Bombyx mori: one gene and its partners. The protein of the gene in region 3 purifies or fractionates together with the protein of the main gene of each other region. This does not show direct contact. Links are inferred from orthologs where the notes say so. Each region holds a gene or a part of one and is shown on either strand. Other genes may lie near its edges.

Evidence for each region.
Region 1: the proteins of high-affinity copper uptake protein 1 (region 3) and ubiquitin carboxyl-terminal hydrolase 32 purify together in Homo sapiens (co-immunoprecipitation; 3 studies listed by BioGRID and IntAct, with this or other methods). This does not show direct contact. The link is inferred for Bombyx mori from reciprocal best matches to the Homo sapiens genes SLC31A1 and USP32.
Region 2: the proteins of high-affinity copper uptake protein 1 (region 3) and syntaxin-7 purify together in Homo sapiens (affinity purification with mass spectrometry; 3 studies listed by BioGRID and IntAct, counting the BioPlex papers as one, with this or other methods). This does not show direct contact. The link is inferred for Bombyx mori from reciprocal best matches to the Homo sapiens genes SLC31A1 and STX7.

The regions. Positions count from the first base shown.
Region 1 is NC_085122.1:14,148,969-14,160,186, reverse strand, and holds part of ubiquitin carboxyl-terminal hydrolase 32, read left to right. Parts: intron 1-1,490; coding exon 1,491-1,768; intron 1,769-2,201; coding exon 2,202-2,385; intron 2,386-2,463; coding exon 2,464-2,780; intron 2,781-2,883; coding exon 2,884-3,024; intron 3,025-4,474; coding exon 4,475-4,568; intron 4,569-4,816; coding exon 4,817-4,890; intron 4,891-4,987; coding exon 4,988-5,223; intron 5,224-5,296; coding exon 5,297-5,408; intron 5,409-5,525; coding exon 5,526-5,651; intron 5,652-7,102; coding exon 7,103-7,309; intron 7,310-7,388; coding exon 7,389-7,578; intron 7,579-9,796; coding exon 9,797-9,911; intron 9,912-9,981; coding exon 9,982-10,133; intron 10,134-10,205; coding exon 10,206-10,300; intron 10,301-10,996; coding exon 10,997-11,218. UniProt on the Homo sapiens protein: Deubiquitinase that can remove conjugated ubiquitin from target proteins, such as RAB7A and LAMTOR1.
Region 2 is NC_085107.1:5,741,978-5,752,773, forward strand, and holds the end of syntaxin-7, read left to right. Parts: intron 1-3,671; coding exon 3,672-3,741; intron 3,742-3,941; coding exon 3,942-4,092; intron 4,093-5,057; coding exon 5,058-5,151; intron 5,152-6,054; coding exon 6,055-6,179; intron 6,180-6,853; coding exon 6,854-7,102; 3' UTR 7,103-7,164; downstream 7,165-10,796. UniProt on the Homo sapiens protein: May be involved in protein trafficking from the plasma membrane to the early endosome (EE) as well as in homotypic fusion of endocytic organelles. Mediates the endocytic trafficking from early endosomes to late endosomes and lysosomes.
Region 3 is NC_085121.1:6,774,888-6,786,680, reverse strand, and holds the start of high-affinity copper uptake protein 1, read left to right. Parts: upstream 1-4,500; 5' UTR 4,501-4,881; coding exon 4,882-4,893; intron 4,894-5,147; exon of another isoform or gene 5,148-6,107; coding exon of another isoform or gene 6,108-6,110; intron 6,111-6,608; coding exon 6,609-6,713; intron 6,714-7,239; coding exon 7,240-7,359; intron 7,360-8,357; coding exon 8,358-8,470; intron 8,471-8,570; coding exon 8,571-8,693; intron 8,694-10,508; coding exon 10,509-10,538; intron 10,539-11,793.

The DNA of each region.
Region 1 (11,218 bases), on a different chromosome or scaffold from region 3:
CTAGAGCAACCGACTGTGATGATAAGGGTTTCGTTCTAGAAATATATCCACATGAACGTGAACCTATCTCTTCAATTCAATATTATCACGTGTTCACTACTTGTCGTAAAGATAACGTATAAAATATTATTATTTGATCATGAATTCGTCAGTCGTCCGTGGCCACGAATACTGTAAAGCATTTGTAACGTCGCCGCGCGGCGTCGCGTCGGAGTCAATAGGTACAATAAACAATAAACACGTAATTCTGTTAATTTTTTTTATTATTTCACCAAACTGTTGCGAGTGAGCAGGAGCAGGACGCATGCTGGCCGCAGGACTCGAACGCCTAGAATACACACTCGTGTTGTCTTTAAACTAAGTTTCATTCATCTATATATTAATACGTGAAGCAAAAACTTTATATCCCTTTTTAAGAAAATTGCGCGGACGAAGGAGTATGAAATTTTCCACACTTATAGAGAATATAGAGAAGCGTAGAGTGCGCAATGCATATTTTTTTTTTTTTAAATACATTTAATCAATAAAGAAAACATTACACACACTACATACCATGTATTTGACGCACACACGCATGCATACTAGGTATTTATTGTCAAACTTTTGTTCTTGACGTCTGTGGTCAAATTGGGAATAGAATATGGTTTGTCTTTGTTAATATTTTTTATAGTGTAGTCTTGGCGAAATTTGTGATTATAGAAGTATAAAATACAATCATAATAGTGTACAAACTTACAATTCCAATTAATTACAGTCGAATTTCAACTACTGCGGGACCTCTAGTACATTTTAAAAAATCGTCGTGGCCCAAAGGATAAGACGTCCGGTGTATTCGTATCTAGCGATGCACCGGTGTTCGAATACCACACGCGGGTACCAATTTTTCTAATGGAATACGTACTTAACAAATTTAATGTTCACGATTGACTTCCACGGTGAAGGAATAACATCGTGTAATAAAAATCAAACCCGCAAAATTATAATTTGCGTAATTACTGGTGGTAGGACCTCTTGTGAGTCCGCACGGGTAGGTACCACCGCCCTGCCTATTTCTGCCGTGAAGCAGTAATGCATTTCGGTTTGAAAGGTGGGGCAGCCGTTGTACCTATACTGAGACCTTACAACTTATATCTCAATGTGGGTGGCCCATTTACTTTGTATATGTCTTTGGGCTCCAGTAACCACTTAACAACCAGGTGGGCTGTGAGCTCGTCCACATATCTAAGCAATAAAATAATAATAAAAACAATTCAAAACTAAAAATTGATTACAATTTTTTTGTAAATAATTATATCGTTACGTAGATAAATATTAAATAACAATGCATCAGCGTAACAATGACATTAATTGTACAATTTTTATTCTTATTTGTGTTGCTTTACTGTCCCCCCAAACGTTTCCCCGTCCTTGTGACGTCACGCGCAGGGAGACAGTCCGCGGGCGCGCGGCTCCACGTGGCACATGTTCAAGTGAGCTCGTTTTGTCTATAGTTTGCTTCAAGATCTTCGATCTGGACAGCGATGGACTCTTGAATAAAAAAGAACTCATCGATATGGTGAGTGTCCTGTGCGAGGTGGCCAACGAGAACCTCAAGAACCAGGGGTCCAGATCCTCCACGCCCGATGGGAGCGAGATGGGGATCCAGAACTTCGACCCGGACGTGATCCTCGCCAACTTGAGGGACAAGCTGGTCGTCGCACCCAAGAACGGACGGAAACCGAACTTCCACCTCGGACCCCACGGAGATACTGAAGATATCATTAATGTGGTCAGTTCTATTCATTGGTACAATACAACGATAGAGTGATGGAGGCACAGAACAGGCGACATGTGATAAGTGGTCGCCACCCCGGACAGTAGCTGGACGCGGAGCCCGGCCACATGTGAAGCCTGCTCCACACTTTAAAAGTGGTGACACATATTTTGAAGAATTAAATTCTCTTCCGGGGTACCTCGAGACTCCTTGAAATATTTTTTTCCAGGCACTTGTTGCAACTTGTTACTGAGACTTAGCCAGACAACCACATATACTTATTTTTCTATGTTCCATTAAAACCAAGGTATTAAAACGTGTTGAAATTGTACTTATTGAGCACGAATCGGATGAGAGAGACATCGGTGTACAGTCGAAAGAGTCTAGATCCAAAGAAGTTTCAACAAATTCCGGTCGCGACCTGAGACGCTCGTTACTAACTTTATAGCCGGAGAGCAAGGCCGATGGAGACGTGCTGCTTCCGGAGACGGTGCTGACGCTGGAGGACTTCCTCATCTGGTCGGTGGAGAGCGCCCACGGAGTCGTGACGCCCTTCCTCGACCTCGTCTACCAGGTGTGCCACATCGTGCTGGGGCTGCGGCCGCACTGCCGACACAGCGAGAGGGACATCGGTCAGTACGCGTTGCCCCTCCCCCTCCCCTCCCGCTTGTTGCATCGCCTCCTAACGGCGACGTGTGCGCTGATTGCAGTGCTGGGCTGGCTGCGTCGCTCGGTGGCGCGGGGGTACAGCGTGGGACAGTTCTGGTACCTGGTGGCGGCCGAGTGGTGGGGCGCGTGGCTGGCCTACACGGGGGACGCGGCGGACGCGTGCTGCCGGCCCGCGACGCTGGCCGACGACAGCTTCATGACCAACTCCACGGAGTCCATGGGCTCGCTGCTGTGGCGCTGCGAGACGGCCTCCGTGGACAGCGCGGGCTCCAGCAGCGGCGTCAGCAGCGCCGCGTCGCCGCGCCGGCACCCCGGCTCCGTGCGGAACAAGCGCCTGCTGGCGGACAACACGCTCAAGGTCCGTCCCGCGCCGGGGCCCGCGACCCACGACACTCCCTCTCGGAGGAGAGCTCACGGATTTATTTGCTTGTAAAATACAAAAAATATAAAACATTGAACAGGTCCGTACGCTAACAGGCGAGGGCGGCCACCTGCGGCGCGACGTGACGCTGGCGCAGCACCGCGACTTTGAGCTGGTGCCGGACGCGCTGTGGAGGGCCCTGGCGCTCTGGTACGGAGGACCCGACCCTCTGCCCAGACAGGTTTGCTTTATCAACAATCATCCCTTTGCTTTTCTTTATTTATTTATTACGTGTACGGGTGACCGAGCTCACGACACATTTGGTGTTAAGTGATTACTGGAGCGCGCAGATATCAATACCTGAATGTCTCGCCCACTTTGAAACATGAGGTCTGGGTTCCCAGCTGCCTAGTATAGCGCGGCTGCCTCGCCCTTCAAACTGAACTGCACTGCTGCTTCACGACAGAAACAGGCAGGGCGGTGGTACCTACCCGTGCGGGCCCACAAAACGTCCTAGCACCAGTAGTTATGCAAATTATAATTTTCGGTATAACTTTTAATACACAATGTTATTCCATTATTGTGGAGGTCAATCGTAAACATTTGTTTAGTTCGTATTGCACACTACCCCTGCGGACCCGCAGCCCACGACGGCTTCAAAGTCGAGCTCTGCTGCGTTAATTTCTAATTAAGAAAGAACATATCGGGGCTTTCGGCTACAGAGCTGGCGGTGCCCGGACCCGGAGCCGCGTATACTGCGGACTTTTTGATCGATGTTAACAAACAATTTAAAAAAAACCTTTATTTTTCAATTAATAATTGTGTAGAATAATTGTTTTATGGCCGAGAATCTCTTGGTATAGTTCCAGGGGGTCACAAGGCACTGTGTCGGGGACTTCCTGTTACAGTAACCGTTAATAATGTAAACTATGAGAGCTGTAGTTTGAAGTAGTATATAATAGAATTATTTTGTCCGTGCAGCTTGGGTTCGTAAAAAATCGGAGCGGTGCAGCGAATATTTCGCTCTCTCTTCCACTCACGAGCCTTATGAACGGGCATAGTGATACGCATTATTGTTGTCGATAAGCGTTATCGATAGTGTATTTAGTTTTGTCATTTTGTGGGTTAGTGATAATAATGAAAGAAAAAAATCACTAATCCAACACTTACGTCACATATCGCCGCAGCAAGTTAAAGAGAACGGCAGAAATGAACACTTTGTAACTTTTCGGGATTTATTCTCATTTCAGTGAAAAATTTTAACACATTGTTGATAATAACACATGCTTGTGCTGGTATATTTTTGCCAACAAGCAAAATATTTGAATACATTTTGCCGTTTTGGTACAAAACAAAGGAGTAGCCATTGTGTCACTAAAGAAATTCAGAGAGCGAATGCACAAAATCGCATTTCTCTTTGATATATGTACTATAATTTGCAGGTAGGTTCAACAAATTACTCATAACATAACAATGTCTCACCACCCTACGTATGCCACCCCGCCGCCGTGTACCTGCCTTCGATGACTCATTTATTTTTATCGATAATGCCGTTGCGCCCGCACAACATGCCCCACCGCTCTAGCCGGGCTATGTTTTAAGACCCGAACTGCACGGACAAAATAATTCTACTATAGTGATTCAGTGATACAGATGAAGCACAGTGAATAAGCTGGAGGTCTGCGTTCCAGGTGATAAGGCCTCCGAACTCTGACGTGGAGCTGGAGCTGTACCCGCTGCAGCTCAAGATCATGCGGCACGTGCCTGCCGCGCTCGGCACGCACGGTACGCACCCGCCGCCACTACACTACTAACTACACATGCCTTTGTAATGCCAACGATGGAAGACTTTACGGCCGCTCTTTTGGTAACTGGTTACCGTCCGCCGGGGACGTTGATAAAGTCGGGTTCGTAGCTTCTCAAACTTCTTTTGAAGAAAGAGATGCGACAGCAATCAGGGAGGAACGTCGACGGTCGGCCGGTGAGCGGTAGAGGTGGGAACGGTAGACAAGTGTAGTGCGTCCTTGTCGCAGGCTCGGCGGGCTGCGTGCCGGACCGCCAGCTCGCCTACACCGCCGCCTTCTCGCGCCTCGCCACCATCCGCCAGGTCGGTGCACACCACGCTTGCTTCTGTTTTGTTTGCTGTATGCACCCGTGTGTCGAGTCTGACGTTACCTCATCAACTTGTGTACCGGTGTGTGTAGGTTTGCGAGTTTATATGCGGCGCCTTGGGTCTGGCACGAGAAGACATGCGCCTGTGGCTGCTGGGGGGGCAAGGGGGGGGCGTTGCCGGCGCGCAGGCGGGGGGCCACGCGGGGGGCGTGCTGCTGGACGACGAGCAGCGCACGCTGCACGAGCTGCACCTCGACGAGCGCTCCCGGCTGCTGCTCGAGCTCCGGAACAAGGACCTCACGTGGCCGGAGGAGATCGGAGCCATCAGGTACGCGACTCGGCGGAGCGCGCCCGCGACTCAGTCGCCAACGTACATTCACTGAGAGTCTGTTGTGTTCCAGCTCCAACCGCGCGACGGAGAGACGCGAGACCCTCATCGCCCCCAACCTGCCGGGAGCCACCGGCCTGCACAACCTGGGGAACACCTGCTTCATGAACGCGGCGCTGCAGTCGGTCAGTCAACGTACCCGCCTCGAGGCGTGAGGTCGAAGTCTCGGCTGCACACTGCGACAGTTGCCTCACAGTGTCTCATGGAGTGTACTGTAATGCACCGGCACCGTGTGTCCGCAGGTGTGGAACACGGGCCCGCTGACGCGCTACTTCAACTCCGGCATGCACCTGTACGAGGTGAACCCCGGCAACCCGCTGGGCACCGGCGGCGCGCTGGCCGTGCGCTACGGGGAGCTGTGCAAGGAGGTACCGGGTGTTGAGCTGTGGAGGAGTTCCCGCACAGCTTTCATCTTATATATCGGCGCAAATATAACGATTCACCTACTTACTATAAAAATAATAACGATTGAATGTGATAATCGAATCATCTAATCTTCAACTAATTATAGTAACCGGCAAACATCTTGAGCAAATGACCTTGACTGCGCAGAACCGAATTTTAGATCACTTTGGTGGTGAGGGTGAGGCGCGACGGCAGGGGAAATCGTATCGAGCGCGTTATTGGTAGATCAGTCGAACCTTGCGTCCCGCACCGCGCCCTCGTTCCGCTTGCTCCCAAAAGTACGCTTGCGTACAGTGAAAAGTCTATCGTTATTAATCGTTAAGTTATTTGTTATAATTACTTGTGGACTTTGTTGCCATTGCTATTTGTTGAGTGTTTGTTGATTTTTTATAAACATACACTATGCCGCGACAAACCGGTGTAGTATTCAAAAGAAAGGGTAGAAAAATTGTGTACGACGTATATTGCTTCATTATAAAACAGGGGAAGAATAATATGGAAAAATTAAAACAAACTTCGGAAGTAACAAAACCATCAGTGAGTACTGTTAGGTGCATTATTAAGGAAGCTAAAGGCTCTGGCTTGCTCGCCGTGTTTCGGACTCCGGGTAAGAAAAGATCAGGAAAGAAGAAAGTTACCGGAATGGATAGTTTCGTTCAATCTGTAATAAAAAGATGTAATCATAATAACTACATAACAAGCAGCGAAACTCCGTACCGTAGAAAGGCTTCGAAAATTTTAAAGAAGATATAAATTTTAATGGCTCGGAATGAAGCTTACGACGTATTATGAAAGAGCTAGGCTTTAGATGGAAAAAAAAGAACAGAAAATAATCGGAAGCTGGTAATTGAAAAAAGTAACATTCGATTACTACGAATCGAATATCTTCAAAAAATAATTAATTATAGACAAAAAAGAAGACCGAATCGACCGAGTTGTAAACTACACCGATGAGCCCTATGTCGACTAATCACGATGATAGCGACTCGGGTGATGAAAACAGTGATGATGATGATGGGTCAAGATTATGATAACGAAAAAAAAAATACAAATACCAGCTTCGCTTCAACTGAACCAAGACCTGGCCACAGCTCTAGTTTTGACTTAATAGAAGGAATATCTATTTTACCCCAAGATTAAATTATTATAATTATTAACCTACATTTTTTGTTGATGATCTAATAAATATATAAAAAAATACATATGTTGATTTTAATAATTTAATAGCATTATGACGCAGAGTAAATAATGTTTTTGCACGTGAGTGTACCATGCGCAAACTTACCCCCACTACGTCAACAAATGCTCAAGAAGTTTGCCGGTTATTATACTCTGTGTTTATTACGATGAGAAATTGATGTTAAACAGTCCCCTTTATTGTAATGCTTGTAACCCGAGTGCGGTGCGCGCGCAGGTGTGGTCGTGCAGCGCGCGCTCGGTGGCGCCGCTGGGCGTGCGCTGGTGCGTGTCCCGGCACGCGCGCGCGCTGGCGGGCGGCGGCCAGCACGACGCGCAGGAGCTGCTGGCGTGGCTGCTGGACGCGCTGCACGAGGACCTCAACCGCGCGCGCCCCCCCGCGCCCGCGCCCGCCCCCGCGGACTCCGCCGGCCGCCCCGACCAGGTGCGCCCCGCCCCCGCCCCCACCCCCGCCCCGCCCCGCCGCGGCGTGCGCGGGGACTATGTATGCACTGTGCGCTCAGGTGGTGGCGGCCGAGGCGTGGGAGGCGCACACGGCGCGGAACCAGTCCATCATCACGGAGCTGTTCTACGGGCAGCTGAAGTCCAAGGTGCGCTGCGACACGTGCGGCCACGAGAGCGTCCGCTTCGACGCCTTCAACATGCTGAGCCTGCCGCTGCCCATGGAGTCCTACCTGCGCTGCGAGATCAAAGGTACAAGGACTTAACTTCTCAACATGGTCGGGCACACGTGGCCGGGGACTCTGCACTCATTGCGAGTGGACCACTGATGCTGTAACTAACATAAACTAAAGCAATTACAAAAAAAAAACATATGAAAATGTTTTTCTTTTGCGTTGCATAACATTTTTTTTATACCCAGACAGACGAGCATGCGGCCCACCTGATGGTGATTGGCTACCGTCACTCATGGTCGTAGCGATGCAAGGGCAGAGCCATGCCGCCGCCCACCGCTTCTCCACAACAAAGCATGCAAGCAAACGGCAAGAAAGTTATCTAGTTTTTTTCTTTTTTCGGCCCGGGGGCTGCACCTCCTACGAGTTGCCCGCGCCTAAAGGGCGCGCGGGGTTATAGGGTTTGACGATCTGAAGATGTTGGGAGCAGACCGCGGGCCCAAGGATTTTTAGGGCCCTACCGCATTAAACGACTCCCTTGCATTCTTACACCCGACGTCCGATCTCCGTCTGGGGTCAGAACCCGGTCAGAGTAGGGGGGTTCCCGCAGTCAACACTACAACCAGACACGCGGCGCCACCCCGAGGACGCCCGACCGACGGGTCGTCGAGGCGATAGTCGACAACCGACGACGCCGGTCTCCGCGGTACGGCGCCCCTACCAGGTCCGGGCGATGCCGCTGATGTTCCAGGATACCCCGTTGGGCCGGAACCAGCCTGCCAGGTCGGAATGCGATCCACCACCGACCGGGTTGCTCTTCCACAGTATGTTCGGCGACGACAGTGACGACGACAATGCGGACCGCATCGCAGTCCTCAGCCGCCGACGCGCCGTCCCGTCCTCCTGGTGCCAGCGCGCTAGAGTGACGGTAGCGTGCGGCGCAGCCTCAACCCCCTCAAATCGCCCCGTGACCATCACCGGGAGGAGACTACCTCCTTACAGGGTCGGAGCTGGATGAATGCCCTCCTCCGACTCCCGGCTCGGGGGCGGCGGCACGGCGCCAAGAGGGAAGAAGAGCTCTCCCTCTCCCGTTCCGCCGTCTCCTTGCGAGATGGTGAACTCGCAGAAGTCGAGCATCGCCTGCCTGGACTTTTCGCTGTCGAGCATCGTAGCCACGACGGTCGGCAGCGACAAGTCCGGTCCTATATTTGCAACGAGGACGCGGCGCTTCGGGGGCAGTGCGCGAGCGTGTGCCGCGCCGTGTTCTGCACTGTGTGTGTCCTGCACTGCAGTAGTGGCACTTCGGCGTCGGCTCCCTCCGGGCGACGAGGTGCAGGTAGCGACCGAAACAGCCGTGTCCCGTGAGCACCTGCGTCGCTCGGAAGGTGAGACGTCCTCGGTCGCGATTCACCCAGTCCGAGAGAACCGGGCGGATCGCCTCGACGGTCCGTCGCCGGTAGGCGGGGTCCGCCAGGCGGCGAGACCACGCCTCGAGCACGGCACGCCGAGATTGAAGCTTCCGCGCTCGAACTTCCGCCGCGCCGGGACGCGGCTCCCCCCTGGAGCGGAGATCACATCGCCACGCGTAATCCGCAGCGAGCGCCTCCGCTTCCAGGTCCCAGGGAGGCGTCCCGGCGAGCACGCACGCCGCCTCGAACGAGACAGTGCGACGCCGCGACGTTGTCGCGGGTCAGGGCGTGGCACCACACGGGAGCCTCGTACAGTGCCGCCGCACCACTATGTCGGGACCACCAACGTTCGGCAACAGCCGACTCAGCGAGCCGGCGGCCGCCATCAGTCAGAGACCCAATCTTTCGAAGTGAGCCCGGAAACTCCAACGACCGTCCAATACGAGACCGAGGTACCGCAAGCGGGTCGCCTCGATCTCGACGCGGACGTCCCCGATCAGAGGTGGGCCCCCTGAGGCGGCGCTTTGAAACGTGCGGGCGGGCCCCGTGAAACAACAGGGCCTGGGATTTATCGAACGCAACCTCCAGACCCAGCCTTCGAATCCTGCCGATGACGAGGGCCACCCCCGCGGAGGACAGACTAGCACAAGTCCCTCCCCCGGGCCAGGACCAAAGTGTCGTCTGCGTAACAAACTACACTCAGACCCGGGAGAGAAGCGCTAAGAGCGCCCCGCAGGACCCAATCATAGCCGATGTTCCACAAGAGAGGGTCAAGGACCGACCCCTGTGGAGCTCCGCCCCTTCCGTAAGGAAGTTATTTCCTAACGTAACAAACGTAGCGCCAGGAGAGCCGAGTGCACAATTGTAAATTATTATCAAACATTACAGTGATACTACTAGACGGATCGGTCCCCGTGAAGTACGGCGTCAGAGTCAACTCGGAAGGGACGTACCTGGACCTCAAGAGGAAGCTGTCGGAGCTGTGCGGCCTCCCGCCGGACCTGTGAGTACCGTGGCGGCGCCGGGCCCAGTGCGCGCACGGCGGCCCGGGCTCACGAGCGCGCGTGTCGCAGGCTGCTGCTGGCGGAGCTGTCCGGCGCCACCATCGGCCGCGAGCTGCGCGACGCCGACAAGCTGACGGCCGCCGGCGCCGCCGACCTGCACGCCTACGAGCTGCCGCCCCCCCGCGAGCCCCCCGCCGCCCGCGACCTGCTGCAGCCCGACGGTCAGTGCCCCCCGCCCGCCCCGCGCCCCGAGCCTCGCCCCGGCCACTACAGCCCACCCTCTCGTGTTGCAGGCTGGTGCGAGGAGGCGAGCCAGTGGGCGGAGGTGAGTGTGGGCCGCGCCGCCAATCCTTCCTCACTCTGCATGCCTGCACTGTTCTGCTTCAAGGTTAGCTCACACTCGCACATGACGCACACACGCCCGTGTCGCACACTCACACTCGCACGTGCCGCACACTCACACTCGCACGTGCCGCACACTCGTACACCAGCGCGGTACCGTGTAGCTATTAGAGTTGCGTATTATGTCGTGTTGAGTCGGTCCCGCGGGGCCGCCGCAGCTGAACAAGTGAAGGCACGTTCGGTGCGTGGAGGGGACGCCGCGGAGCCGCGGGGGAGAGTGGCGCTCGAGCGATGGACCCGATTGTACTGAGACGTTCCTTCCGCCTCGTGTCATGTTTCGTTCAACATTGGATCAAACATTGTTTTCCAATTCTTCAAATGCTCCCTCCGCGGCTCGGTTCAGTTCGATATCACATTAACAAGTGTAGTGCATTTTGTTGCGCCGCTACTGAAGTCATTCAGCGATAACTTGCAGAACTAAAAGCGATGCTTTTTTTATTGATTCGGCAAATCTGAAAAAGCTATCTGAATCCAACTAGAAATGACTTGTGAATCATCGCTCCCGGTCCCCGCGCGCCGCCCGTGCGTCGATTGTTATTGTTTAATAGCTTGAGGTTTTAGTTTGCGTTATTGAACCTTTATACACGTAACTGGCTCTGCTCCTCTCGTGAGCAGTCCGGGGACTGCGGCACGAGCGCGCCGGGGCGAGCTACCCGCTACTACTGCCGACCTGTACTTGCAGAGGTCGCGGTCGGAGATGCTCATGTCGCAGAGTCCGCCGACGACGTTCTACGAGAAGCAACACCACCAGGACCGACTCCGCAGCCAGACCCTGCCCAAAGACATGACCAGAGGAAACAGCTCACCCGCGCTCAGCGTCAAGTCGCTCAACGTGAAGCCGGCTAGCCCCAGACTGGCCAAGGTCAAGTTTGGCTCGTCTCCCTCCAACATGTACAAGATGAGC
Region 2 (10,796 bases), on a different chromosome or scaffold from region 3:
CCTCATAAAACGACCACATTTAACTAATATTTCGGAGAATTAGATCTGTTAGAACGACCGACTAAGCTGTATTGTAAACAATTTGAATAGGTATCCACATTTGTCTTCAATGGCTATTAAAATCAGGAAAGAAAACAATAGGATTTAGTTTAGTGTAGGGTCTTTTCTAATTCTTAGAAACAAAACACGTGCATGCAGTAGAGTCAAAGCCCGCTTCTTCATATCGCTTCAGTTAGTTTGTTACTTATCTATACACAAGACGCACCAAAACTTTGTGGAGTTATTCGTGAAACTTTCAAAATGTCGCAAAGAAAAAGAAAACAAATTAATATTGAAGAAAAATCGCGTATTATGTAAATATATTTTTCCAATAATTCCCTATCGATTTGTTTGTACTTTCACGATACACATTATATACATCACCGGTTGTTACGACTATCGGTTTTTACGACTTAATATGAGCAGTCCCTTCGATGTCGTTATAACAGATTTTGACTGTAGTTGCTATTTGTAAGTAAACAAATATAAATATTAAGAAAAAAGTTTTATGAAGTTAGATAAAATATATTAAAATTAGGATAATGTTTGTCCTTAAACATATGCAAAGAAAAAATCAGTCTACATCAAAAGTAAAGTATGCTTTATTGTACACCAATATCTGAACTTTTACTACATACATAATTGTTATGTATGTAGCTATATGTAATAATAAAAATAAAATAACACATGCACATGTGTACCAATCATATAAAATAAATAAAGATACAAAACGTTAAACAAAAGAACAGTGGTGAAATCACAAAGAGAGGCCTCTTGAAAATAGCCAATATGTGAGCAAGAATTTTTGAATGAAAGGAATTTACTGAGGTGTACTTATCAAATAAAAAAGAAAAACAGAATAGTATTTTAGTATTTACAAAATTCATCATTAAAAATGCATTTTGATAGTTATGTTTATACCAAAGCATTTGAAGTCTTATGTTAGAGCACAGCATATGCCAGTTTGATTTGAACAATTCTTTATGCATTTTTTTTTCTACCTATGCTGATAGCCTTGAGAGGCTATTTCAGCTTCACCCTAACGTTTGTAGGTGAGCTCGCGGGGCTCAACCGGAGAGTTGCTAACACTGACCCTAGCAAGAGCAGTGCTTCGCAGAATCTACCACCGGATCGGAAACGCGACCCACTGAGAAGATCCAGCGAGAAACTCAGTGGGCTGTGTCTATGGGTTTTTTGCATTTTGTCATTCAGTTATTTATGAAGAATCTTAAATAATTAATAACTAACATAAGTACTTTTAATAAATTTCAATATATAAAATAATAAAGCCTTTTGTTCAGACAACAGATTTACAATTATCTTTCTTATACTACTGCACTTTTATGTATTTAACACAATTAAAATTATTCACATATTTGGTGCTTCTTTACTTTCTGTAAATCCATAGGCTGTTGGCAAAGGCCTCCTCCAACCTACTTTATACTGATCTCTTTTGATCTTGTGTAATTGTTTTAAAAATTTTGCAATTGTTTTCTTATGTGGTTGGAGGATTGTGCTCCTTTTCTCCTGCAAGGACTTGTGGCTTGCAGGAAATTGTGTTATTTCTTTTGTTTGGTTTTCATAATTTGGTTGGATTATCCGTTTGGCGGCTGTTATTGGTTTTTATGTGTGAGGATATGAGTGGGAGGGTTTGATCGGATTCTCATCAAATCGAAGGCGTTTGTCCTGTGTGTTGTGGTAGCAAAGGCTTTCTCTTTTATGTAACTTCCTAAGCTACCAATATATAGATTCATTTTAAGCTCTGTATATTTAGTTTACTTCCATAAATAAATTAAGGTCTCTTTTAAAGTACTCTTTAACAGTTTGAAATAGTTCTAACATGGATTTTTCGAAATTGTTAATATGAATTATGGCAATGACTTTGGGAAATTACTCTTTTAATACTCATGTACATAATATAATATATAATATAATATAACTACTTTAGTTGTAGACGTAGTAGTAAAGAACTAGAAACAATATTACAGTGGTCTCCACAAATAAACAAAACCCATAAAAACTTGCTAGAATGTGCTATTTTGCAATGTGAAATTTAATTAACAATAAATTGGCTTTAGAATAACATTACAAATTAAATTTTATTTATATTTTAATCCTAAGAAGTATATCGTATTTCACAATTCTTAATTTAGTAGTATATATAATATACGTATACATACATTAGAAAATGAAATAAATTGATTGTATAAGGAAAAAGCAAATGAGAAAAATAGCTAAAACTTTTCACTTACTACCTATATAATTACTGTTGTACATTTTCCTTGTACATAAATCATGTTTTTATGTAGTTGAACTTCATTAGTGCTTATCAGGACTGTTAATATGATGGCTCTGTTAATTGAAATGATTATAATAATGATAAGAAACATTAAAATTTAAAATTAAAATTTGCTAAGCTTTAAGTTTTTCAGTAATTTTCAAAACTAAAAATGTTCCCTGAAATCTGAACTATTATTTTATATAATACTAGCGACCCGCCCTCGCTTCGCTTCGGAAACATTAAAACACACATGAAACCTAAAAAAAAAAAAAAAATTAAAAAAGTAGCCTATGTTCATCAGGGACAATGTCGGCTTCTAATGGAAAAATAATTTTTCAAATCGGTCCAGTAGTTTCGGAGCCTATTCGAAACAAACAAACAAACCAATCTTTCCTCTTTATAATATTAGTATAGATTATATTTCTACTATCTAGTAAACAAAGGCAATCGTTTAAATACATTATCCATAAAATACATTATTCATAGGTAGATGAGCCCAGAAATCCAAAGGAATGCCACCATTCACAATAGGGCATAGTGTGGATCTCTCAATTATATTGTATAAAAGTTAACCCTTCAAACAGGATTAAATTGTGGCAGAAATAGGAACTCATTATAATGTATCATTAGTAATTAACCCTTTTTTTTCTGATTTTCATTTATACCTAGATTGTATTTCTTCATGGTTGTACATGCTCTTTTTTATTTAAGTTGGTGAATGAACTTACAAAGCTGTTACTGAAACCTATTGAGCAATATGAATGCTGTCATCCACTTTGAATCATTAGGTTCACATCTCAATTGTATTGCACAATGGCTGTTCAACCTTTCCATACTGTAACACATAAGTTTAACTGGCAGAAATAAGCAAGAGGGTAGCACCTACCCATGCAAGCTCACAATATTCCTTCAATATTTAATTTAGATATACCTCAAGTCTCGAGTGAAGTGTGTGGGATAATAATATGGTAATCATTAAATATTAGGTGGGTTTTGAGTTTCTTTATCTCTCTATACAATAAAAATAATCATAGAAATCATTCAATAATATCTGATCTATATTGGAATTTACCAAAGGATCTGATGATACTATCCAATGGTAAAAGTACTTGGGGTATTGTTACATAAGTTTCAAAGTAAGCAGTATTATCGAAATACCCTTGCACCTAAACTGTAAACTTATCAATTATATTGATGGATCATAATTAAAAATGAAAGTATCACTGGTTAATACAGTAGGATGCAACCATTAAGTTGTAACATTATACCACCTACTACATTTTTAATTAACAATTAGGAGATGTTAATCAATATTTTGTTGTACTCATCCCAGAACCATAATTCTTTTCAGTATCCTCAATGTCAAAGATGGTCAATCAGTTACAAACACCTCAAGACTCCCAAGAGCTTAGGGCTCAGTTGTAAGTTTTACTTTCATACTCTGCATTTTATTTCTTTTGTGTTTAATTTAATTAAAAACATTGGCATATTAATTTGCCTTGTTTATTTCACATTAAGCAGTATCATCAGCTTAGAAATTATAACTGCAATATACTTGATAGAGATTTAGCATATTGTTTTCTAAACATATCTTAACTTAAGAATAACTTTTTCATGACAGACGCCAAATACAAAATTACACTCAGAAGCTGGCAAAGGACACTTCCTCTTTGTTAATGGAGTTGATGAGAATGCCTAAAGATAACGCTGCCAACAAACTTACCAGAGAACGACTCAGTGATGAGTATATTGCCACTCTTAATAGTTTCCAGGTGTGTGCTTAATTTATTAAATATCGTTATTGTGACATTAATATATTGTTAACTAACCCGCCCTCACTTCGCTTCGGAAACATTAAATTTTATTATTGATAGCCGAGTCCCGCGATGTTACCCGCGGTTATTGTCGTATCGCGGGTGACACCGCGGGGCGAAGCTAGTTATACATATAAACATTCCTCTTCAATCACTCTGTTTATTTGTTTATTATTATCTAAAAAACCGCATCAAAATCCGTCGCGTAGCTTTAAAGATTTAAGCATACATAGGGATATAGAAAGTTAAATAGCGCATAATAGTATACAAAAAAATTGTATATTAAAAAAGAAAACAAAGTATAACTCATGTTAAGTAGGTAATAGGGAGTAAAATAGTAATAGCTTGGAAGACTAGTTCATTCAAGTATTTCTTAAGAAAATGAGAAGATAAAATTATAAGCATTAGGTAATTGGCCAGTTCTGTCTATAAGTAATCTTAGCGATGAGTGATGCAGAATTTCGTATTTTTCAGAAATTCAGAAGTTTTAATGTTTACGCAAACGTTAGGAGTAAAATTAAAAAATTAAATTAATATTAATATTCAATAATTTACAAACATTATGTATCGCCAAATAATAATATATTATCTATCTATCTATTACAAATGATAATATATAAAACGGCTAGACGCGTCTCTAAAATAGTGCACAGTCAAGAGTTTGTTATTCATTGAATTTTATGGTTAAAAAAATTCTTTTACTATTTATTTTAATCTAATCGTCTAAAACATAATATAAATTTGTTTTGAATTTATTTGTCCTGCAGTATTTTTTTCATTAGCATAACTGTATAGCAACCCTTTATTAAGTCCAAACATATTATAATATGGGAATGTGTACTTGCTGGTATTTGTAACATTCTATTATATGTACAATCTTTATTTTTTAGACTAGAAAATATATTTTTTATTTATTTTTTCAGGCAACACAACGACTCGTTGCGCAAAAGACAAAAGAAGATGTGAAAAAAGCAAAGGCTCAGTCTATAAATATTGGGGATCCTTTCGCTATGGGGAGTAAGTATAAACTTTTTCTCACATTACTAAAAAGTACTAAAAGTACTAAAGTAAAAAAAGTATGTACTAAAAAGTAAAAGTCATATATCTATTACAAAATAGAAAAGAGATTACAATACAACGTGAACTGTTCCATCAGACAGAGGTAGTAGTAGAACTGGCGATCCCTAGCACGACATGAAAGAATAAGTCACGTTTGAGAAATTAAATTTCACCATTCCTTTTTTTTGTATTGCTCGCAATTTAATACAATTCAAAATAACTAAGGCTCGGGGTCAACTTTCTAGAGGGAACGAACACGAAATATAAATCTAACAAAAACGAGTGTGTGTATGCGTGTGTGTGTGTGTAAACAAGTATGTTTGTGCAATAGTTCAGTAATTAATAATCTTATGCTTCGACTCCTGGGATCTTTTGCAAATAGTCTGTAGTCTATTATTCGTCTACAAATCAAGTCCACGTGTGACCTGAAATAGCGTTTGGATTAGACCAGCAGTACATCAGGCTATTAGAAAATTTTAGTTTTCTCTTCGGAAATGGTCTCCTAAAAATTTGAATTAATAACGAATTAAATTTACTGGTGGTAGGACATCTTTTACTGGTGGTAGGACCTCTTGTGTGTCCGCGCGGGTAGGCACCACCACCCTGCCTATTTCTGCCGTGAAGCAGTAATGCGTTTCGGCTTGAAGTGTGGGGCAGCCGTTGTAACTATACTTGAGACCTTAGAACTTATATCTCGCGGTGGGTGGCGCATTTACGTTGTAGATGTCTATGGGCTCCAGTAACCTTAACACCAGGTGGGCTGTGAGCTCGTCCACCCATCTAAGCAATAAAAAAAAATCATAGAATTTCAACATACGGAAAATTTGACCTATTTACATAATTATGATGTTGTTTGTGTAGACAGTAACAAAGATTTGGTAGAGATGACCGAGACAGATGTCCGTAAGCAGGAGCAAATGAATATGCAAGCTGAACGTTCTCTCGTCGAATTGGAGGAACGCGAAAGAGATATTCGGCAACTTGAGGTATATATATTTCATAATTTAACTAAACTCCAAAAGAAATATCATAATCATATCTATTAAATTTTATTATTCGCCCAGTATCGATCATGATAAAAAGAGGTTTTTTTTTAAATAAAACAAAAAATTAATTTAATGAATTTGAATTCTAAAATGAATGCCTGTAATGTCTTATATTAATGTCAAATGGAGAATAGATTAATATTGTTTGTCTTTAATACATACTACTTATTTATAGTGTAGGTACCCTTGGCGAAATCTGTGGTTATAGAAGTAAAGTTCATTGACAATAGAACCATCATAATGTTAAAACTTATAATTTAAATTAGCTTTTCCCAAAATGGGCGATAACGCCGCTTTGTGGGCGTTGCAGGCCTAAAGGGGGGCGGTAAGAGACCCAGAAAAAAATGGGGGCGTTGTGTAGAGGCTTGGGAGGCGATTTGTAATTTCATCTAGGAAGACTCTTAGACACCGGCTGAGCTCTCGCTATAGTGGTTTTGAAGTAGTTGAAAAAATGGGGGCGCTAAAAATAATTTATTCTCAAAGTGGGCAGTAGACAAAATAAGTTTGGTAACCCCTGATTTAAATTAATAATTATAGTCGAATTTCGACTACTGGGCGGCCACTAGTTAAAGTAATTGTATTTAAGGAATATCAAATCTGACCGTTTGTTTTAGAGTGACATACTAACCGTTAACGACATCTTCAAAGAGCTGAGTACAATGATACACGCTCAAGGCGAAGTTGTGGACTCCATCGAGTCTAGTGTTGAATACACGGCACAGAACGTCGAGAGCGCCACACAGCAACTCCGGGAGGCTGGGAATTACAAAGTAAATATTATATTAATACTTTATTTTAACAGTAACCTACATTACACAAAAAGAAAAACATACATCAGACATATGTATTATAATACTAGCTGACTCGGCAGACTTCGTAGTGCCTCAACCGATAAATAAAAGACCTAAACTTTTGTATAAAATAAATTGTTTTTTTTTTTTAATTTAATTCCGAGCATTTTCATATTTATCTACCTTTTAAAACTTCTCTGGACTTCCACAAATTTCTCTAGTTTTAGCGAGACTAACGAACAGCTATTGATTTTTATATATATATAGACTAGCGGACCCGACAGACGTTGTCCTGAAACAATCATTTAAGTCGGTCCAGCCATTTAGTTGTAATATAGATAAATAGTCTAGATACCGACTGCAGCGCCATCTACCGGGCTGATTTGTGAATCTAAACCATCCAGGGCGCCACCCAAGCGCATACAAAAAAATTATTCAAATCGGTCCAGCCGTTTAGGAGGAGGAGTTCAGTGACAAACACACGCATAGAAGAAATATAGTCTTTTCGCATTAAAAGTACAATTTCCAAAAATATTCGAAATTGAGTTAATATGCGGAATCATTTGGTATGACCAGTATTTTTCTCATAAATACTGTCCAAAGAGCGTATTTTAGTTTTTTTTTTTTTTTTACTTTACCTATGTTTTGACTACTATTAACAAAATTAATACATAATTTTATCTTACTTTAAAAGACACATAGTGTAGCTGGTAAAAAATAAAATAAAAAAATGTTGCAAAGATGATTAATATTAAAAATATCACATGTTATAGACCTTTAAAACACTCTCCTGTAAAATTAGTAAGTTTTGATATTATACAGCTTTAATGCGAGAATACTATATATCAATAAAGATAAAAATATTAATTATTGAAAACTTGTGGTACGTTTTTGTTGTTTACGTGTATTAACTTTTTTTTCCAGAACAAACTGAGGAAGAAGAAAGTCTACTTGGCGATAATATTGATCATTGTGGTGTCAATAATCTTGATCGTTTTGTTCCACAACTAAACACAGCTTCGAGATGATATCGTTGCTTTTGAAAAACGTAAATGTCTTTTAAAATAAATAAATATACGTGGATTAAAATAAATAATGACATGTTTTGTACTATTTTCTAATATACAGTTGTAATGTGAATTGTGATACACAATAGAAAATACAGAATTATTCGCAATCCATCATGTAGAAGGATTGACACTAAGTAAGAACACAAAACAATTCCGTAGGTTTAGTTTATAATTTGTTTTCGATGTGTCGTATATGTAATACCTTTTTTTTTTAATGACCAATAATGTGTAGACTATATTAAAAAAATTCGGACTGTTCCTTTAACGTTTGCTACAACAAAAATGAATTTGCAAAAAATACTACGTACAAAAAACTTATGTTCGTTAATATACACAAGGGATTATTAATTGCTTTTTATTATAATAAATAAATAGCAAAACTGGTAGCAGCGTTTTGAAGACATCTCGATATAGAAAGTATAATATCATGTAAAATAGATATTTACGTCATTTGAAAGCAGCTTCGATTTTTGTACATTATTTAGCCACCAGCGTTCTGCTGTTATTGTATATATACGATCATTTAGTCATAAACTTTATTAATATATTATTATCACTTACGTAACATGCATAGCATATTCATTACGTGGCTGCAGTTAAACTCAGGTCTTTTCTAAGGTGCGTAATGACCGTGACCAAAAGGGGGGGGGGGACTATACGCGAAACTTTGTAGATGAGGATGATGATCATGATCTAACGACTGGACCTTGTTTACGATATGCTTTATACGTATACGGAGAAAAGTTTCAATAGCATCAAAACGGCAAACATGACCATTTAACAAATAACCATATAATGTCCATATTTTAATGCCATTTTCCGTTATGAGGTTTTCACTAGTCGTAGAATGGAACACTTTCCACCTACTAAGCAGACAGACGTGATCACGAGAGTTATAAAGTTTTCCGAATAGATTGTAACTTGGTATGTTTACTCAGAATTGAGGGTTTTAAGAAAATCCAATTTCTTTCGTTATTGTAGATCACTAGCTTGTTGGTTTTTTTTCCTACGTATTCTGGTAACTTCGAGGGGTTATACTATAGATTCTACGAAATTAGTAGGTGAGCTCACGGAGCTCTAACCTGACGACGTTGCTAACACTAACCCCTTACAAGAGCAGTGCTTCACAGAATCTACCACCGGATCGAAATCGCGATCCACTAAGAAGATTCGACGAGAAACTCAGTGGGCTGGTGTTCTATTCTACATTGAGAAATACATGTTGTTTTTGACAACGCCATTTGGCTCATCGTATCCCCCCTGGATACACACCCCTGGAAAGACCTCAGTTTAGCTGTAAGACTGAAGTTAATATTAGTTCTAAGCAGTTTACTCTTAAGGTGCTTCTGCAAAGATTGGATTGTGTTAGGATCGGTCCCGTTTTCAAAATATCCTAAGCGAATAGAAAATAACAGGAGGATATATATAACGCTTCAAAATAAATATAATATCAGTGTGATTCATAAAACAAAAACAAAAAATGACTTTGATTTGAAGAATTTAAAGTACAAGTTTTGTTTTTAGAATTTATATTATTCTTAAATTGGCTGGGTTATAATAATATAATATCTATTGTTTATGGAACGAGGTTAAGCCGAGCCAGTGGCCGACGATTTATCATCGTAATTATATTATTATTATTTGAATAAAATGTTAAATAAATAATATATGATTGATCTAAATAAAGACGTGGAAGCATCTCAAGATGATTGATTGATTATAATTTAAAATTAATTGAGAAATTGTAAAATTAATAATGAATTGTTCATCACGTAATAATATCTTTGCTGTGGTGCATTAAAAATATTTAAACTAGTGAATTGTTTATATTGTTTTGCCATTAAAATGGTTTTCAAGCGTCGCATTTGTCGTCAGCTACCTAAACATGAATATTTAAAATAATTTTTTCTGTATATTTTGTTCGGACATGGATATTATATAAATATACCTAAAAAAAATTAAGCTACCTAGTAATTTGTAAGTCATGAGAATAAAATAAGATTTAATCATAGTAAAACAGATTGGTGGCGATTTCATGATCACAAACACCCGATGGACACTTGTAAAGTTGACAACAATAAAACATAGGTAGGTACAGAGAATAAAGGTTAGGGCTGCTATTGCGAAGACATTAAAATATGTATGTACGTCTTCACTGAAGGATATTCACGAAAGAGCATCATATTACGAAGCGAGGTCATTAAACTATTTTAATATAATTTATTGAATTCTTGATTTACGTATTGAATTTCCGGATATATAAATTTATATACATACACCATTGCATACCAATTTTGTGTCCGGTGACAGACCCCGCAGCGTGTCCTATCCGCCTTTGATTAGAGTCCTCCATCGGCTGCATAAGTGAGACGTTTGCTTACAAGATGTAACAAGAGAGAGTGAGAAAGAAAGAGAGACAACATCAAAGAGAAGTTCCATACATTTGACAATATTTACTCGAGTCAGATTTTTAAGAAATGTTTCTAATATGTATATCGCTACGGGTAAATTCGTTTGGCTATTAACAATATTAGTCATGGCTGATCCACTTTCTTGATCTTATCCCTGCACTTAACCAAATCTTGAATGTACATCGTAATAGTTTCCTTTCAAGTTCCTACATCATTATGACTTTATATTTCCTATTTTCTCTCTTCGGTTTGAAAAATCATATTTTACGAAACGTTAGCAATGAT
Region 3 (11,793 bases):
CTACTGCCCCCAGCCCAGTAATTGCCAGTAAAAGTCCATCGTCATATAAAAAAACAGTTTTTATGAAACCTCGATCTCCCTTTAAAGGTGATAAAGGTTTTGATCAAAGGGCCCATAGAAATCTTACAAGAGATTACGATGCTCCATCTCCTTCTAATGGCTGTGCTTTAAAATTTAATGAAAATTCCGAATCTCCTGTGGCTGAAATAATTATTGCTCTTATTAATTTACTTGCTCCTAATAACGCTACACCGTCCAACGCAGCTGATATCATAAGACAAATTTTAAACAAAACATACAATGGCTCCACAAATAAAAAAGATGATTCAGTGGAACTGTCGAAGTATTCTAAGTAAAAAGTCTGATCTCATTCACTTAATAAATAAACACTCTCCAATCATAGTTTCTTTACAGGAAACATGGTTGAAAAGTATATATCCTTTCAAAATCAAAGGATATACCTGTATCCGTGAAGATCGTATTGACGGGTACAGTGGTGTTGCTCTTCTTGTAAATAGTGTTCTTAGCTTTAAACTTGTAGATATACCTGATCATAGTTTTGGTTTATCCATTATTGCGGTCATTGTAAATAATATATGTATAGTTAGTCTATATATTCCCCACCCTTCTGTAGAGATTTACAAAGAGTTTATAACTATTATTTTGAATCTTCCTAGACCAATCATAATAATGGGTGATTTTAATGCTCACCATCAAACATGGGGAAGCTCAATATCTAATGAATTTGGAGATATAATTCTTGATTTTGTTAATGAACAGAATTTGTGTATTTTAAATTCTGGAAGTCCAACTCGTAGAACTGGTCCTGATCAAATTGTTAGTGCTCCTGATATATCTATTTCCTCCCCATCTCTGGTGCCGTCTTTGTCCTGGAAAACATTAAAATTAAGTTATGGAAGTGACCACTATCCTATTATTATTTCATTTTCACACAATAACATAGTAATTAAGGATCATTCTAAACATAAGTCTACAATAAAGTACAACCTATCTCAAGTAACAGATGAGGATTGGAAAACGTTTCAATCGCGTTTGGATATTAAACTTGCCAACTGTGAAAATATTAATAACTTAGATTCTGATGCACAAGCAAAAATTTTAGCTTCTGCTTTTATAGAAACAGCTGATGAAGTTTTCCCTTCTAAAAGCCCTTCTGGTATTTTTATTCCTTCTCCTCCTTGGTGGGACCGGGAGTGCACTCAGGCGGTAAAGGAGAGAAAAGCAGCCGAATTATTATATTTAGAAGAAACTATTACAGAAAATTTTGATATTCTAACAGAAAGAATCAATAGTACTCGGAATCTTTTATTAAAAAAGAAACGAGAAGGTTTTAAAAAATTTTGTGCTTCGATTTGTCCTAATATCTCACCTTCTGAAGTATGGAACCAAATAAGAAGATTTAGATCTGCATATAAAGAAAATACAGTCAAAGACTTGCCTTATGATCTGGCTGACAAGTTTCTTGATAAATTAGCTCCCCCTTATGTTCCAGAAGAATGTTTAGTTCTTATCCCGTCTGTCCTTCCTTTCTCATGTTCAGATCCAGTTTCAGATTTTGATTTACCTTTTTCATTTAATGAACTGAAGGGGGTAATCTCGAATCTTAAGGACTCTGCTCCAGGTGATGATAAGATTCCTTATTCTTTCTTTGTCCATTTGAGTGATTCTAGTCTCACATATTACCTCAACCTTATAAATTCTATGTTCATTACATGTGTTATCCCAGAGTCATGGAAAAAACAAATTATTTTACCCATTCTCAAACCGGGTAAATCTTCATCAGATGTATTGTCATACAGACCCATAGCTCTCTCATCTGTAATGTTGAAAATTTTAGAACATTTAATTAAAATTAGACTAGAATGGTTTGTGGAAAGTAACAGTTTACTCAGTGACAGTCAAAACGGATTTAGAAGGGGTAAAAGCACAATGGACAATCTTGCTATCTTTATAGTGGATATTTTGGTAGCTTTCTCAAACTCTGAATCTATTGTAGCTGGATTTCTGGATATTTCCGCTGCATATGATAATGTACATATTCCTACACTGCTTTACAAATTACAGAAAATAAGGGTTCCTGTTAGACTTGCTAACTTGATTATTACTATAATGTCAAATCGAACTATCATTTTAAACTCTACCTCTTCAGATTCACAACAATCTAGAACTTTATGGAGAGGTCTTCCTCAAGGATCTGTGTTAAGTCCAATTTTATACAATATATACACTTGTGATTTGGAAGAGACCCTTGGAAATCAAGTAAGAATTCTTCAATATGCTGATGACCTCCTTATGTACACTTGCAATAAAGACATACATAAAGCTTGCTTATCCCTTAGGAATTCATTTCTAACTCTTAAATCTTGGTTAGATAATAATGGACTTTCCCTTTCTGCCTCCAAAAGTTCTATTGTTGTATTCTCTAGAAAACGTTCTCTTCCTCCAATTAGTATATTGTATGAGAATGAATTAATTTCTGTAAATAGTCATGTTAAATTTTTAGGTTTAATTTTAGATTCAAAATTGAATGGAATTCAACATTGTAATTACATTACAAACAAGTGTTTGAGTAATATGAATATCTTACGTTCTCTTGCCGGTGTATGGTGGGGTGCCCACCCATTCAATTTAAAACTTTTATATAATGCCATAGTAAGATCAGTTTTAGATTATGGTACTTTTTTACTTCAACCAGGGGATGTGAATGCTTTCAAAAAACTAGACACTATACAGTCTAAGTCACTCAGAATTATCACTGGAGCCATGAAATCTAGTCCTGTTACAGCATTACAGGTAGAATGTGTTGATCCTCCTCTTCATTTGAGACGTCAATATTTATCTGATAAATTCGTTTTCAAATCCCTACAAATTCAAAATAATCACATTATTACCAAACTTAAAACTTTAAATGAACTCATAGAATACTCTTCATTTTGGAAACATAAACAGTTACCATGTTTAATAATTAGCTACAGAAAATATTTGTCTATTCAAACTCCAACTAATCACTCTCATATTTTCCCTCTATTTTGTGTAAACTATATGGCATTGATTTTAAAACCGGATATTCATCTTGACATGGGTATTTCTAAGTATCAACCCCAACCAAATACTAACTTTAATTTTGTAATAGACCAAGACTGGAATGACTATAACCATATATATACAGATGCTTCCAAACACCCTCAAGGTTGTGTTGGTGTAGGAGTCTACCATTCGCAATCAAAAATAGTTGAAAAGATAAAATTACCATCTGAAACATCAGTGTTCACTGGTGAATGTTTTGGAATATACAAGGCCATAGAATACATTTTGATATTCAAACTAAAGAAAACTTTAATACTAACCGATTCAAAGAGTTCTTTACAGGCTCTTGCAAAATTTCCTTTTAAATCTCAACCGATTTACCCTATTCTCTTAGACTGTAGAAACCTGTTAATGAAATGTATGGATCAAAATCTTACAGTATCATTTGTATGGATACCTAGCCATTGCGGAATTAAAGGAAATGAAATAGTTGATAGAATTGCAAACGAGGCTATCAATTGTGGTGATATTTATTATTTCAAAAATTATAGTCATGATTTAGTTAGCCTTCCTAAAACATATTTGAATAATGCTTGGAGTGCACAGTGGTATAATGGCGTTAAAGCAAAATATTATCGAAGGGTACAACCAACCATTCCTTCCAAACCATGGTTCTACAAATATAATTTTAAACGCCACGAGACTTCCAGTTTGATACGGATGAGATTAGGCCACACGTGTAGTCCGGCACATCTAGCGACGATCGGAGTGCTGGATAGCAGTAAGTGTGAGTGCGGTGCGGACATTGGCGATTTAAATCACATTATTCTTTCATGTCCCCTTTTTGATCATTCACTTCTTTATAGTTCTTTATCATCACTTAGTATTCCTTTTCCTATATCTGTACCTTATTTATTACATACAGTAGACCCAGTTATTTATAAAATTATTATCTTATTCCTCAACAGTTTTAACCTAAAATTATAATTATATATATTATTTATTCTTCCTAATTATATTAATCCTAATCCAATTTTCCTGCCTAAACCTTATCTAACTTATATTTTCTGATTTGATTTTTGCTTCCTAACCTTTATTTTGAAAGTGGCAAATAACACTTGGTGTTGGGTCCAAAAAGAAAAAAAAAAAAAAAAAAAGTAGGTATGTACCTACCTACCAAGGAATAAAGTATAAAGTAATAGGTGCCAACAGACATTGCAATAAATGTATTCATAATTTCAGTTGCGGTTTGCAACGTACCACGTATTCTATTTTCATAAAGTTCGCTACCAATTAGACTAGGCTTTGGTGGTTTATATGATCACATTAAAATTCAAAACGCTTTTATCTTCGTAGTTCACAGTTCAAATTAATATTTACAAAAGTTGAAAGTTTCTTTGGTTTTATTGCAGTGCACCTACGTAGCCCCGTACTAGGTTTGTGTTTCATTAATTACTATCTATCGCCCAAAAATTGTAGAGCTTAATTCTTAATTTTATATTATGACAACTTTATGGTCAACTTAAATGAATAGTTAATGGTAAAGTTTTCTGATTAACCAAATCGCTTAATGCATTTTTCACATTTCGCGTATGTAGTCACCTACGTCTTTCATAAGCAAAATTGTAATCGTGATGAAAACAATATGCATTTTTATCACGAACATAATTATTTAATTAGAAATGTTTTGTTATCAATAATGATATTGAACGTTTTGTGACGTTTCCAATTAGAGTATTTCATTGAAAATTTTGATTTAATTGTAATCTTCCTTATTTTTTCACCAAAACTAATTTTGGCTTGCATTTGGTTACATTGGCAAGTTGTTTCATAATGGATTGTTATGTAAGTTGCTACCAATAATTTACACTTTACATCCACAATGATACTTTCACTTTAGAAAAGTAGTTGGCCCTGATACAGTTTGCCACTCATGACATACAGTGTAGTACTTTCTAAACAGAACACCTAAAACTAAAATTTAAGGTGAAATATCTTTCAATTAGTTTTCTCAGTACTTTCATTGTTGTATAATAGACTTGCGCAAAACATCATTTCCCAATGTAATGTGATATGACATCACTTTTACAGACAGGTGATATCACTCTTAACATTACTCGGTGCGTTAAATAGATACTGTGACGAAAACATTGTATCTATACACCCGAATCATTACCAAAGTGATGTGCTCATACTTTGTATTGTAATACACTATTATATGACTTGACTTACTTAATAATATAATAATTTTCTTTTTTACTTATAATTTATTGTGGGATGAACGGATTTCATATGGCGACTTAGACTGCAAATTGAGCTCAACAATAATGTAAATATACGAGAGCAGTAGACGCCATTCTTTCTTTCATTTATTAAACACGCATTAATTAATATAAAATATTACTAAACAATTAAGAGCGACTAGCGATTTTACAAAAGTTACGAATAAAAAATTAAGTAACTACTTGCGGGGAACTACCGGCTGGCCACATGAAAAATATAAACATAAATACCTATATTAAAATTCAGACGTACCATAGGTATAAAAATGTACCTAGCGACCAGGGCATACGGTTCAAAATCACTAGGAATAATTCCGTGTCGCTTGCTCATGTATTTTGCGTAGTGCTGTAGCACTGCACGTCAAGCCATCGCGTTGCAGCGTCGATCGGTCTGTCTCGCTCGCTCGGTTCCCTTCATATAATAAGCAACATTACACGACAAAGAAAGGAACATGTTGGGTGATAGTGTGATGTTTGTTTCCTTCGCGTAATGTGTGATGTTGCATTACATCGTAGAGTCATATTACCGGAGTAATATCACTCGCGTTACTTACACATGTCTATTGTATAATTTATCAAAATCTAACTTATTTTTTAACTTGTTCTAATTATGTTAAAAAAGATGTAACGGAATTATATCAGAAACTGAAATGTTGTTCTTGTAAATTGTTAAATTAAATATTAAAACTTATCACTTTTGTTAATTCATATTGCTTTGACTCTCATTCTAAAGCAAAGGCTGGTGTATATAAAGGCTTAGCTGATTTTTTAGTTAAAATGGTATGTTTCAAAAAAATTGAAGACAATTTTGTTCAATTATCAATTAATAAAGACTACAAATATTTCTGTAATAAAAGCAATGATTGACTGGACATAAAAAACTAAAAGCTAATAAATTTCCACTGATAAACAACTGCATTGTTCTGAGTAAGAATAATTACAATAAATGAATAGATAGCAGTGGACAAATAATAAAGTAATCTCAAGTGCACTATTTAATAATGATTATTATCAAAGGTTGTAAGTAACAATGGTTATGCTTATCTTGTACTGTTTTCAAACAAGCTCTGCTTTAATGATTTTCATAACAACACTACTTAATACAATATTGATATAAACTTTATTCATCAATATTTACTTTTTCATTATTTGTCTTCCTTTGAGCGGCGTTTCAATTGAATTATATAGTCTCACTGTTAAGTCTACAAATATTTCTGTCTGTCTATCAACATTTAAACCTAGTACTTTTCTGAAATTCATTTCAAACCTTTATTCCAGATGGACGAACATCATGAACACCACAATATGGATATGGGCCATGCTGGGCATGAACACCATGGGATTGATCATTCAAGACATATAGGCCACCAAATGCCTATTAATGTGAGTTAAAAGTAAATAATATAAATGATACATGATACTTTAAAAGTATGGAATCCATTGATATCAAGTGGACTATTCAACATCGTAAAGTATAGGAAAACAGCTGAGAGGAAAAAAGCACAGATGTCATTATGTTTTTTTTATCAAATAGAAAAAGTTTAAAAAATAATTGAAATAAATAAATAATTGATTACTTATTTCATTGATTTTATTCAAACAATTAAATTTGCTGCTAGTAGGCTTAGATCTTATTTGTTTTTTTTAATAAATAATTATTGAGTATGCATCAAACTTCAAATAAAAATGTATCATGCTTGTTCAAACTGCAAGATACATGGTTTATTTGTTCCGTTTTTTTACCTGCTATTATACTAACTAGGTTTTTTGAATAAAGCCTTAATTTGGATGGGTAGGCACTTAGGCCGTTATCTGCAACTGATCACAAGAATTCAATTACTATGTTTATTTTAGTGAATAATTTTAAGATGAAATGAAAACTGTGTCAAACAAATTGTAATTATTTCAGGGACTTCTTAATTCATCATATAACAGAATTGTGCACAACACAGATATGAATGATCACAATGTCCACACTTTTTCAGGCCATGGTGATCACAGTAGCCACAATATGGGCATGTCCATGACGGTAAGCAAGATATCTCCTAATGTTTCTAAAACATGTTTCCTTGTTGAATTGTTTTTTAAAGGGATTTTATGACCTGGTAACTGAGACCTTTAAGTCATGTCTTATTTTAATTTATATTCATATTTTTTATGAAAAATGATATTATGGAGTGAAATGAAATGAAGATGATTAATTTGAGACACTAATCAGCTGGGATGAAATTAAATGAAATGAAATGAGATGATATAGGATGAAATATAATCTCAGTAAAATGGTGGTCATTTACCTACTAAGATTTTTTCAGTGGACTTTTTGGAGGATCCCGAGAAGTTACGTCCAGAGGCTTTGTTTCATTTTCCCACATTGGTGCACTTTCACAGATATTAAACAGTTAATAAACCACCATTATTACACATTTAAACCTGAAGAAACACTAAATAGACAAAACAAAACAAATTACACAACTTCACTCCTCGCGTTCCCGCCAAAAAGTCCTTTCCTTGTTGAATATGCATTTTTGAGTAGATTAGCATGCTGTCTTTATCTATGTAGAGAGTAAGTTTAGAATAGCAGCACCCCATTTCTTTGTGGTTGTCAAAAAAGAGACTGAGGCTTATAGGAGATGGCCAGCAGCTTTTTCTGAGTATTATACCAACGGATTGTGATCGCCAACCGGCATTTAGTAGGAACTAGGTAGCTTGAAGTCATCATGGCCATAGGATAAGACGGTACATTCGTATCGAGCGATACGACTGGGTCGGTGCTGTTTCTGCCGTGAAGCATAATGCGTTTCGGTTTGAAGGATGGAGCCTCTGTTGTACTGAAAAAACAGACTTAAGCTCACATATCAAGATAGGGCTGCATTAACATAGTTCATGTCTATGGTATTCAGTGACCATTTAACAACAGGTGGTCCGTGAGCTTGTCCACGTGTCCATTTCTATGCAATAAAATAAAGAAAATTTTCTCCTGGTCAACATTACTTAAAATTTTCAACATAAATTTTATTTCATTTTTAGTTTCACGGTGGCTACATTGAAACTATTCTCTTCTCTTGGTGGAACGTAACAGAAGTTGGTGAATTTGTGGGATCATTTTTTGCAATATTTATTATAGCTTTGCTCTATGAAGGGTGAGATATGTTTATAAAATGCAGTAAACAATAATAAAAACAAAAACACGAGCCTCATTTCTGAGTTTTTATGCTGAAATGTTACGTTTTTGTGTTGCAGCCTTAAATATTATAGAAAGCATTTACTATGGAAGACATATGCAGGACTACAGTATTGTGCCGTAGCACCACCAGACAAGGGAGTTGCCAATATTTGTGCAGCAGATGAACCACAAATTGTACAGTAAGTATAATCAAATTGAAAAAAATTAATCAAAACCTAAAAAGATTTTAAACCTTTCCAAAGGTAATGTCTTGCTTAATTGTACATATCTAATGATCTTTATCTGTTTTCGAACATTCTTAAAGTATAAGGTCATGTCGTAATATGGTGAAAATAAATCTAAAATATGTTACCAACATGTCAACTCAGTACTCATTTTATATTCAAATTATTTTAAAAACCCAACCTCTCAAACTTATGTGAACAAACACAGTTGTACACACACTGACTAGCACACGCAGTACACTTCCTTATTTTTAGTTATCTTTAGTGTGTTAACATAATGGTCTCTCAACTTTAATAGAATCACATAGTTGATCGGCGATTCGTCGGATGCGTGTATCAAAGGGTTAAGGAGAACGAGGGAATTCAGGAAATAAATTTCTACCCCTTCTGTAATAGGTGGGCTTCGGATAGCCTGCCGATCGAGAGGGCTGGTGGTCGTGGCGCCGACGACCACCGGCCCGGCGTCCCGAGGGGGAGGGTGATGGGAGAGATGTGCTCCGCACTAAACACTTCACTTTACCCCCTTTGCCTATTCATGAGTTCTCTCATGCGAGGCTTGGACGTGGGTTTTTGAACGACAGCAGGTTTTAGTCAGTTAGACTCCGGCATGTCCCACCGTCCATCCTCAGTGGAGGGCGGAAGTCCGGCGATTTCCTCCTAACCCAAAAACAAAAAAAAAAGAAACAATGCGATACCATGGTAATTGGCTTTCTTCTGGTTACTAAACCTTAACGTTCAGAGCATTTTAATGCGGTCCCCGCTCAGCTACGTGGGATCTATAGTGTTGGGAAGAAGTGAAACGCAAATATCCGATGTAAGCAAATTAACGTTTTTGTCAAAAAAGAAAGTATGTAAATCGCAAGATCACACGTAAGACTTAATCTAATAATATAGGTAGATTAATATTTTTACAAAAGTATCCAAAATTTTACATCACATCATAGATTAGATAAGAACATTTTAAGGCTATGTTCCGATATACACTGCCAGCACTGGTAGATGCTCTTAATAGAGAGAAATTCGTTCCGGTATGGACTGACAGTATAGTCGCAGTATTTTAGGGAAATCTATGACGTCATAAATCGTCGCCATTGTTCTACTGTGAACACAGGTGTTTCCGAAGCAAGGTGCTCTCAATGCTTTGATCACGTGATCACTTTTAACCCCATTTCAATAATTCGGTTATTAAGACATTACATTCTACATTAAATTGTTTAAAAAACTATATTTTATTTTATTAAAAAGTATACTTACTTTTATTAAGCGATTAATTCAGCTGACAATATCTTAAACACCTATTTCTAAATATAACCAAATTTAAACAATATTTTTTTGTGAAAGTGAAAAACATCGCCAAAAAACGTCGATGACAGAATACTATACTGCATTACACTACGTTAATTTTTAAAACGGAAATGTAACCGGTATAGCTAACTATAAAGGAACGGCTTCGCACTTCGCAGTAATAAATTAACGTCACACCTTTAGTGCTCGCAGTGCAAATCGGAACATAGCGAATATAAACAAACCAAACTATAAACTATATAACTCTACTCTCAATCGCGGTTTTTTTTTTAAAGTTGTGCACTGATGTTTACTGTCCCATAAATTAGCCTTTCCATAGGTAAAATTAAATTAAAAAACACTAAGCATGCTACTATAGATAGTGTTGTTATCTAATTGTAATTTTTTTTTTTTTATCGCCAGAGATTATTCGCTACTCGTTTCTTCTGTCTCTGTGTATCATTAATTACTTATTTTTTGTTTTAGGCCAATTCCTCATATGCTTGAAAGAAATGTGTAAGTACCAATCTGTATTGTGGATGAATAAATCGATTGTATTAGTAAAGGCCGTTCCAGTCTTCAAACTGAATGCGTGTTTTCTTCGCAGTCAGGATGGTAGTGCCTATCCATGCAAGCTTATTATATTCTGGTATCACTGGTAAATGGCGGTTCGCAATCGCATTTCTAGGTATAATACTCTGAGAACACTGCTGCCCAATCTCGAGTGAATCCCCTATAGTCTCCTTATACGATACGCATGGGAACAGATGAGGTGGTTAAGACAGACACCACACAAGGCATCTACTAATCTTTAAAACCTAGTTTTACCTTAAAAACGTTTGCCTCATAATCATTAAATAAGTTAATGTTACAGAAATCTCAAGATTTAAGTGTAAAATGAAATTTATTTTACTTCTAAATGTTAATTGGCCGTTGCCTAACTGAAAATCAAACAGGTACACCAAAAAGATTCGATAAGAATTGATTAAAACATTCGATTAATAGAGAGGATTGCAGTAGGGTAAAGTATTTTCGCAATTTTGTTGATTTCAAAACATTTAAAAATAGCTATGTTATTGATTCATAGAATACCTATAAATCAATAGCCATTTGATTATTATGTGCATACTGCAACCCCTTGAAACAATATGACCGACGCTTACAAAACTTTACTGTTCAAGTTTTATGATGAAAACACTTAAAAAGGTTTTTTTTTCTATGCTGATAGCCTTGAGAGGCTATTTCAGCTTCACCCTAACGTGTGTAGGTGAGCACACGGGGCTCAAACCGGACTGTTGCTAACACAGACCCTAGCAAGAGCAGTGCTTTGCAGAATCTACCACCGGATCGGAAACGCGACCCACTGAGAAGATCCGGCGAGAAACTCAGTGGGCTGTGTCTATGGGTTAATTCGCTCGTCGAGCCCTTCGTCGCAAGCGACGGGTTCGACGAGTACGGTGACCGGAATTAAAAAGGAATTTTGGGTATACGGAACATATTTAATGGAAAAATAAAAGAAGTATTTAAGTAATGTTAAATAATGTGATATAATTAGTACATCTCTGTCTGCTTTTTAACGGGAACCCAATGAGCGAAGTTAAGTTATTTGTTTTATTTTGATAATTGTATATTTCTTCAGGATTAAACTTGTAATTGTGGATTATTAAGCGTTTAGTATCAATGAATGTGCAAAAGTACCTATGGGAAAAAAGAAACAAAGTCGCTGGATGTGGCTTCTTCCTCTTCTTCTCGGGTCCTCCGCAATTTTCCC